Ovis aries: one gene and its partner. The protein of the gene in region 2 purifies or fractionates together with the protein of the main gene of each other region. This does not show direct contact. Links are inferred from orthologs where the notes say so. Each region holds a gene or a part of one and is shown on either strand. Other genes may lie near its edges.

The links. Proteins that work in one complex are often made in the same cells at the same time.
Region 1: the proteins of TUBG1 (region 2) and NEDD1 purify together in Homo sapiens (affinity purification with mass spectrometry; 5 studies listed by BioGRID and IntAct, with this or other methods). This does not show direct contact. The link is inferred for Ovis aries from reciprocal best matches to the Homo sapiens genes TUBG1 and NEDD1.

Annotation. Positions count from the first base shown.
Region 1 is NC_056056.1:166,687,706-166,691,350, reverse strand, and holds part of NEDD1 (protein NEDD1), read right to left. Parts: intron 3,097-3,645; coding exon 2,968-3,096; intron 1-2,967. UniProt on the Homo sapiens protein: Required for mitosis progression. Promotes the nucleation of microtubules from the spindle.
Region 2 is NC_056064.1:42,410,122-42,414,544, reverse strand, and holds the start of TUBG1 (tubulin gamma-1 chain), read right to left. Parts: upstream 2,910-4,423; 5' UTR 2,811-2,909; coding exon 2,762-2,810; intron 2,440-2,761; coding exon 2,327-2,439; intron 2,125-2,326; coding exon 1,957-2,124; intron 1,092-1,956; coding exon 1,023-1,091; intron 727-1,022; coding exon 647-726; intron 224-646; coding exon 97-223; intron 1-96. Other genes in the region: RETREG3 (reticulophagy regulator 3), read left to right, coding at 3,230-3,468. UniProt on the Homo sapiens protein: Tubulin is the major constituent of microtubules, protein filaments consisting of alpha- and beta-tubulin heterodimers. Gamma-tubulin is a key component of the gamma-tubulin ring complex (gTuRC) which mediates microtubule nucleation.

The DNA.
Region 1 (3,645 bases), on a different chromosome or scaffold from region 2:
GAGAAGGCTCCAAAGACCTGTGATCCAGGTCTGCCTATACCACTTAACAGCTTTGTGACCTTGGACAAGACTTTAATTATGCTTCAGTTTCTACACCTATATAATGGGGACAATGCCCCAACCACCTCAGAAATTGTTTTAAGGATCAACTGAAATAATGTAAAAATATTTTGCAAAAAATACAATGTTAATTAAAAATATAAGGTTTTATCAGTATCTTTTCAATGACAGAATATGTTTAAGAATATTTCAATACTGTAATATTATTCATTTATCAAATAACAACCAAAAACTGCTTATCTCAATTTTAATAGATTAACATAAAAATGGGAAAAGGTCATTTAAAAATTCCCCAGAAATTCAAATGGCCAATGAATTGTCACACATGATTACAAGTAGGACTTGCATCCATATCTCCATTCATTCATATCTCTGTCTGCATGTGTATATTACATCTAGTAATCATACAACACACATTTTTAGAAGTTACTCATTTTTTCCTAACAAAAGCAAAAGTATTATTTAAAAGATGAAGAAATTGAGGAAAAAAGATTAAGCCTTTTACCTAAGTAGTATTGACTCTAAGAGATTAATATTCAAACCTCTTGACAGTGAAAACCAGTACTATTTTTAGTATCCACATTTTTTCTTATTAATATCAAACTCTAATAAATGGAAGGGCGTATGGCTCAAATTTTAATCATATCTTCTTTAAACAGCAAAAGCAATTAAAAGGGAGTTTATATCCTTTACTTTACCATCAAACACCATTAAAGGAGATTTTATTTATAACTCAAACACTTCCAAAAAGCCCTTTCAATTAAAATATTAAATTTAAATTAAAAACTACTCGAGTGACTCTCATAAACAAAGCTCCCCAGTTGGGTACTAAACTCCAAAACCTTTCTGATCTCCAGCCCAAGCCACTTCTACCTGCTTTGCCCATATCTTTTCTCTCCTTACCCCTCAACTATGTAGTATGACCTCTCTTCATTCTGAAAGAAAGGAATTGTTCCTCTTTTATTAGATAGAAGTAGGAATTTGGGAAATTTAAGGATTTATTTTCAAGCCAGGGTAAGGTAGAAGACACTCAATAATCCTGTACCACTACATATATATTTATCCTTTCCACTTATGAAATTAGTTGAAGAAAACACTGAAAAATAATTTTAAAGTAAAAAGTTAAATTTTATAAGATCATGAGTTCAGTTCAGTTTAGTCGCTCAGTCGTGTCCAACTCTGTGCAACCCCATGAACTGCAGCACGCCAGGCCTCCCTGTCCATCACCAACTCCCGGAGTTCACTCAAACTCATGTCCATAGAGTCGGTGATGCCATCCAACCATCTCATCTTCTGTCGTCCCCTTTTCCTCCTGCCCCCAATCCCTCCCAGCATCAAAGTCTTTTCCAATGAGTCAATTCTTCGCATGAAGTGGCCAAAGTACTGGAATTTCAGCTTCAGCATCATTCCTTCCAATGAACACTGAGGACTGATCTCTTTTAGGATGGACTGCTTAGCTCTCCTCGCAGTCCAAGGGACTCTCAAGAGTCTTCTCCAAAACCACAGTTCAAAAGCATCAATTCTTCAGTGCTCAGCTTTCTTCACAGTCCAACTCACATCCATACATGACCACTGGAAAAACCATAGCCTTGCACTAGATGGACCTTTGTTGGCAAAGTAATGTCTCTGCTTTTCAATATGCTATCTAGGTTGGTCATAACCTTCCTTCCAAGGAGTAAGCGTCTTTTAATTTCATGGCTGCAATCACCATCTTCAGTGATTTTGGAACCCCCCAAAATAAAGTCTGACACTGTTTCCACTGTTTCCCCATCTATCTCCCATGAAGTGATGGGACCAGATGCCATGATCTTCGTTTTCTGAATGTTGAGCTTTAAGCCAACTTTTTCACTCTCCTCTTTCACTTTCATCAAGAGGCTTTTCAGTTCTTCTTCAAGATCATGAGTAGACATAATAAATTACACACCCTGATACTGCTGACATTTAGATTCACTCCTGTTTTTCATTATTATAAATAAACAGTAAACACAAATCTCTGAGGGTTTCTCTGAACATCTTCTAAGATAAATTTATAGAAATGGAATTAACAGGACAAAAAGTATGAATATTTACATCTGCCAAATTATCCTCTAGAAATTTACCCCGTACTGTTGATAAAACTGCTGTTAGTAGTAAGACTATCCCATTAAAGAAAACAGTATGAATATTAGCACCAAAAAAAGTACAGCCAAACCATGTGCCTAGTTCATAGAAAATAAACAACAATGATACATAATGTTTCTGTTTAAAAACTGTCAAAGGTCTTTTTGTTTCATTTTTAAGGCTTATTTCTTTTAATGGCAATGCCTACTAGTGACATGGGGCAAGAAGGAGAGAGGGAGTGAGTGGGTGAGTGTGTGTGTGAACACCTACTAGCTATGGAGAGTGAGTAAGTGTGTATGTATGTGTGTGTGTGTATGTTGGGGGTACTTTCATACAGTTAGTATAAAAGATGAGGCAATCTAACCAACCCCCAGCCATATTCCTCCATGAAAACCCTTAATACCAGTTCCTAATAATCAAAGAAACTTTTTTTTTTTTTTTTTTTGTTAGGAAGATATTTTCTGCCTATCAAAATACCCAAGATTTGGGGCAGACTTTCTTAGAAATAAATACAAGTAAAAGACTATGGAGGCAAAATTTCCTGCAGGAAACTTCAGTGGAAATTAAAAATGCTAACTTGAGAGCTATTTGTTTGGTTTCCATGTGAAAACTATTAGCATATATTTTAAAAAGATAACATTTGAAATCTCAGGGCAAAGGGAAAGATAACACCTCAGGGACTGAGAAAATCAGCAACTGTCATGAATAGCATGAGACTGAAGCTATTATCCATGTCTTTTAGCCAGAATAAAAACATTATGGGCACCAGAGCAAGAGAACATGATCCTCTGATGTGAACAGACTTACCATCTCTGACAGGTGAGAACATATCACCTAAACTACTTTTTCCAGAATCATCAAAGCCAGAGAAATCCTGATTTTTCCCACTCTCCGTTTCCTTTGATAAAGTATCGGTGATTATGCTTCGAGGCAGACCTTATAGAAATTGGACATAAAAATAAGTTATTATATTGAAATAAGTTTATCATGAGAAGCTAGGAACTAAAAACTAATGTCTTACCTATATCATTGGAAACACTACAACCAAACAACAGGTCAGTTAACCATCATTTTCATGGAATGAAGGGCTCTTAAAAGCAACTAACTTATTTATATATCACCACTTTTTAAATCTATTTTGATAGAACTTTTCTAAATATTTTATGTATTTTTCTTACACAAAGTATACTGAGCACAGCTTATTTTTGTTAGTGACTGACTCAGGATCACCTACAGTGATTAAAAAATGTCTCTAAGCCATCAAGTACAACACCAAACACACAGCAGTATTCAAATGATGTTAGTTCCCTTTCCCAACTTGCAGTGATGGATCTCTTCTTTTCCCTTCTTTATCTTTTTCTTCACTAACAGTGGGAACCTAACATTGCTCTTAGCATTACTGACCTTAAAGGCCTTCACTAACCTTAGGACAGCTTCCAGACAGGAAGGAAACCAGAACACCAAACTCATAAAGAACAGTACAGT
Region 2 (4,423 bases):
CACAGGAAGGTTCAAAATGGGACTTTTAAAAATGCATGAAAAGGATGAAATAGACAGGGGGGCTGGGACTGGAGTAAGGGAGACTCCAGGACTTACCACACAGTCAGCGTTCTGGGTCAGCCTCTTGAGCGTGAGCAGTGAGTTGTAGGGCTGGACCACCACATCGCTCATCTCGTCCTGGTTGGGAAACACTGAGTATGTCTGCACCAGCTTCTTGGGGTACCTAGTGGTGTTTGCGAAAGGATGGTCAAGGGCAACAGACTAGAGGCTTGGTAAACTTGGGGCTTCTAGTGACGGTCAGGATGGGGAAATTGCGGTTCGGGTCATAGGACAGCAGAGAAGGGAGACCTGACTTTTGGCAGTCTGTAACCCAAAAGGGGGGAAGGGCAGAGAGACATCTTAGGACCTAGAGTTTTAATTCCAAATCAGGCTTACTCCCTGAATCTTCATCAAAGATCAGGATTCTAGACTCTGGTTCCAACCACTAGGAGTGTGATTGGGTTCCTGGTCATTGTACCTTTCCTTCCTCAATACAGCAGGGAACGGAAGGGCCCTTTCCTGCTCCAGTGAATGGGAAGGTTTTATCTGGAGGGCCTCCCAGTCACCTGGGAAACCAAATCCTCTCTGCCCTTCAAAACAGACTTACCTGTCATTGAGCCGTTCTAAGAGGTAGGAGCCCAGGCCAGAGCCTGTTCCCCCAGCGATGGAGTGACACAGCACGAAGCCCTGCATGGGGAAGGGGCGGTCAGTATCTAGGTTTCAAGTGGCAGGATTTCCAATTTTACCCATCTCATAACTTCTTGGACTCCTATCTTCCCAAGACCTCTCCTCCACTTCCCTCCCCCACCGCCCCCCCCCCCCCCCACAGATTAGCAGACTGTTCGTTATTTCCAACAAGGCCCTGTGGCTTCTGTCCAGTGCAAAGGCTGCACGGGGAGGGTCCCACACCTAACAGATGGCTTCTAAAGGGTGCTGCCTAGCGGTCCCCTGCTGGCCGTCACCGGCATTCCTAAGATGCTCACCTCTAGGCTGTCGCTGCCATCTGCCTCCCGGTCTATGATGTCGAAAATGTCCTCGTGGATCTTCTCTCCCTGCACAGACATGGAGGGCATCAGAGTGGGGCAGGACTAAGCAACAAGACTAAGGGCAGGACTTTGGCCTCGGAATAGCCACCCTCCATTCTCCTTATAGTACCTAAAAGTCCTTTTTGGAACACAGTGGTCCTGCTTTTTGTTTGCACTAAAAGGTAGTACAGCCTGGTGGTTACGAGCAGAGTCTCTACATCCAGACTGCCTGAATGCCTATATTAGCTCTAGGTCTAGTTAGTCGGGTGCTACTTCATCTCTCTATACCTCAGTTTCCTCATCTGTACAATGAAGGCACTAATACAGGTCCACAGTGCCTTATCTAAAATTCTTGGGGCATTATGTTTCAGAGTTCAAATATTTCAGATTCTAGGAGGGCTATATGGTGTGTATAACACAAGCTAAGTAGAACATCAGTGGGGCAGGGGTCTGAGCAGTGCTAACCAAATACATTAATATTTCTTTAGTGAAAGGAATGAGAAGTGGCAGCAAGTTGAACAGAAACTATAAACTAGCTTATCTCTATTGAGATTCAGTTTTGCTGCTAAATGAGTAGTTATAAATCCTCTTTTGGTTTCAGAGTTTTCTGGATTCTGGAAACCTACAGAGACTGTGGACCTGTAGTACCTACCTCTAGGATTGTTGGAAGGTCTGGGTAAGTTAATTTATGTAAAACACTAACAATGGCCTGGCATCCGGCATGAGCCAAGTGCAGTCTCTTATGACCATTACATAGTTCGCTCAGAACCCCCTCAGTCACATCTCTCTCTCCACTCATATATTCTCCATCTGGTTTATCTTCTCTTTAGGAAGTCATAGGGCCAGTCCCCATGCAGGAGTGGAGTTCTTCTGCCAGGGAACAGCAAATGACCTGGGAGAATCCACTGGCCCAGTTGTTGCCAGCTCCTCCTCCGTGCTCCGACAGGTAGATGTTCTCTGGGTTGTAGAGCTTGGCATAAGGGGAGTTGAGAATGGAGTGGATCACCCTAGGCTCCAGGTCCAGCAGCACTGCCCTCGGGATGTAGTGCTCATCGTCTGCCTGTAAAGGGGAGTTTAGGATGGGCCCAATCAGCTCGGGCCTGCCCAGTCCTCCAGTCCTCCCAACCCTGATCCTGCCTCCCTCCCTCTTCAAGCCAGCCTCCCTGGCTCCTCTGCCTAGTGGGCTTCCCAGTACCAAGCCACTACCCTTCCCTTCAGAACCCCTGGGCCACTACCGGCCCTGGCTAAGTCCCTGGGGGCACCTGGTAGAAAAAGACGTCCTTGCGATCAGTGCCCTCGGTGGCGAACTCCTCCACGATGCCCTCGGGGCTGATACCATGCTCGGCGCACAGCTGTTTCCAGAACTCGAACCCAACTGACGGGAGGAACGAGGGCGGGAAGAAAGAGGATATCTGGGTCTGGGCAGGTTCCAACTAGGAGCTGGGGGACTCAATGCCTGGGTCCAGCGATAGGAAGTCAAGCTTCGGGAGTCTCTCGTGTCAGAGGAAAGGGCAGTATATCAGCGACTGGGCAGAGGAGGGCCCCTTGGGGTTGAGCAGCTGGATACTGGGTCAGGCATGTCCCACCTTTCGGAGAACTACGATTCTGGGAAGGGCAGATGGAGTTCAGGATCCCACAGCGAGATCCCGTAGAACCTAAGAAACCCTGGCTAGTGGAGGGGCCGGAAGTTCGCTCACTCTGATTGCCGCACTGGCCCAACTGTAGGGTGATGATCTCCCTCGGCATCTCTCCTCTGGCAGCTGCGTTGCAGCCGCTCTGTACAGCAAAGCTACCGCTCTCGCCACAGAAAAGCTGCCTCTCCCGCCAGCAAAGCCGCCGCTCGCTAGCCCGTTACACTGCGCATACGCCAAAACTTGCCCCGCCCCCAAACTTCCTCTGTTCCAATGAAAACTGAGTTCTGGCGAGGGCACTTCCTTACTCGTTCGGCTTCAGCCCTGCAGACTGCGCGTGCGCAGCTCCTGATTGGGGCGCCGGGGACGTAATTTTGACGCAGTGTTCTTCTTTCTGGGATGTACGCGACCAAGGGCCTTCGCGCAGGCGCGTGTGCAGGGATGCAGCCTCCCTCGCCGTTTCGCGCATCTGCGCAGTTGAGATTATTGTGATTGTCGGGCCGTGGCCCCGGATGTTGTGGCTGCCGGGGGGAGATGGCGGAGGCAGAGGGGGTGGCCGTGGCCCCAGGCCCAGCCTCCGGTCAGACTTTCAAGGGTCGCCGCCCTATGTCAGGCTCCTGGGAGCGAGACCAGCAGGTTGAGGCGGCGCAGCGGGCCCTGGTGGAGGTGCTGGGGCCTTACGAGCCTCTGCTGAGCCGAGTGCAGGCAGCCCTGGTGTGGGAGCGGCCAGCCAGGAGCGCCCTGTGGTGCCTGGGGCTGAACGCGGCTTTCTGGTGAGAGAACTGGATCCTCGGAAACCCTCCGAGGCGCGAATTCGTCAGGTTTCTCTAAGGCTCTATCTCTCGCCTCCTTTGTTTTCTTCGCTGCACTGGCTCCTACCTGTACCTGCCTAATTTTGTCTCACCTCCTTCCACTCTATCCCGCCTGAGGCTTTGGCACCGCAGTTCTTAGGGCCTTCCAGTTGTTCCCCCTGCTTTACGTGCACCCTCGCCCCGCACATCTGGCAGGAGCTTCTAGTAACATCTTGCGCCGCTCGCAGTGAGCGAAGGCGCCTCATTTTAGCCAAGAGAAGCTGTGTTCCGTTAAGGCCATCACCTCCCTTCTCTTGTCTGCTCAACAGCCTCGAGATCTTAGTACTTATTGTTGGAGTAGATGAGTAAGGCGTGAGATCTTGAAAAGGGATCCATAGGTGTAACAAGGAAACATGCTTAAACGACCTGAATTAGCATGTTAGATAGACATCTTTTTGCCCACTCAGGAAGTTTGCGAAGTCTGGGAGTCCTTGAGAGCCTCCATAACTGCAACTTGAAAGAAAATTACAAGCTTTTGAAGACAGTTATGAAATAGTAATTGTGGGATTTCACCCATTTCAAAGCCACTTAAGACGACTTCTCCGTGTTCCAAGGAATTAGAGAAGCATCCTTCACCACGGTTTATATGCAAGGAAATTGAGGGTGTCTAATAGTGTTTTGTTTTTCTGAGCTGGGATAGTAGGGCTAAAAATATGCTTAAAGAATCTGTCTGTGTCATCCTGTGTGAAAATGGAACTGCTGCTTCCCTGAGTTGTCATCTCCTGAAGTGAACTTAGGTCTTCATAGAATCTGCCAAGCAGAGTTTGGATTTATTCATAACTAGGGAAGTATTACTGATCAGATTCCAAGGGAACTCAAGTGTAGGGGGGGCTTCTACAGCTGAATGAAAAATAAAGCAGTTCTGGATAAGCCTGAA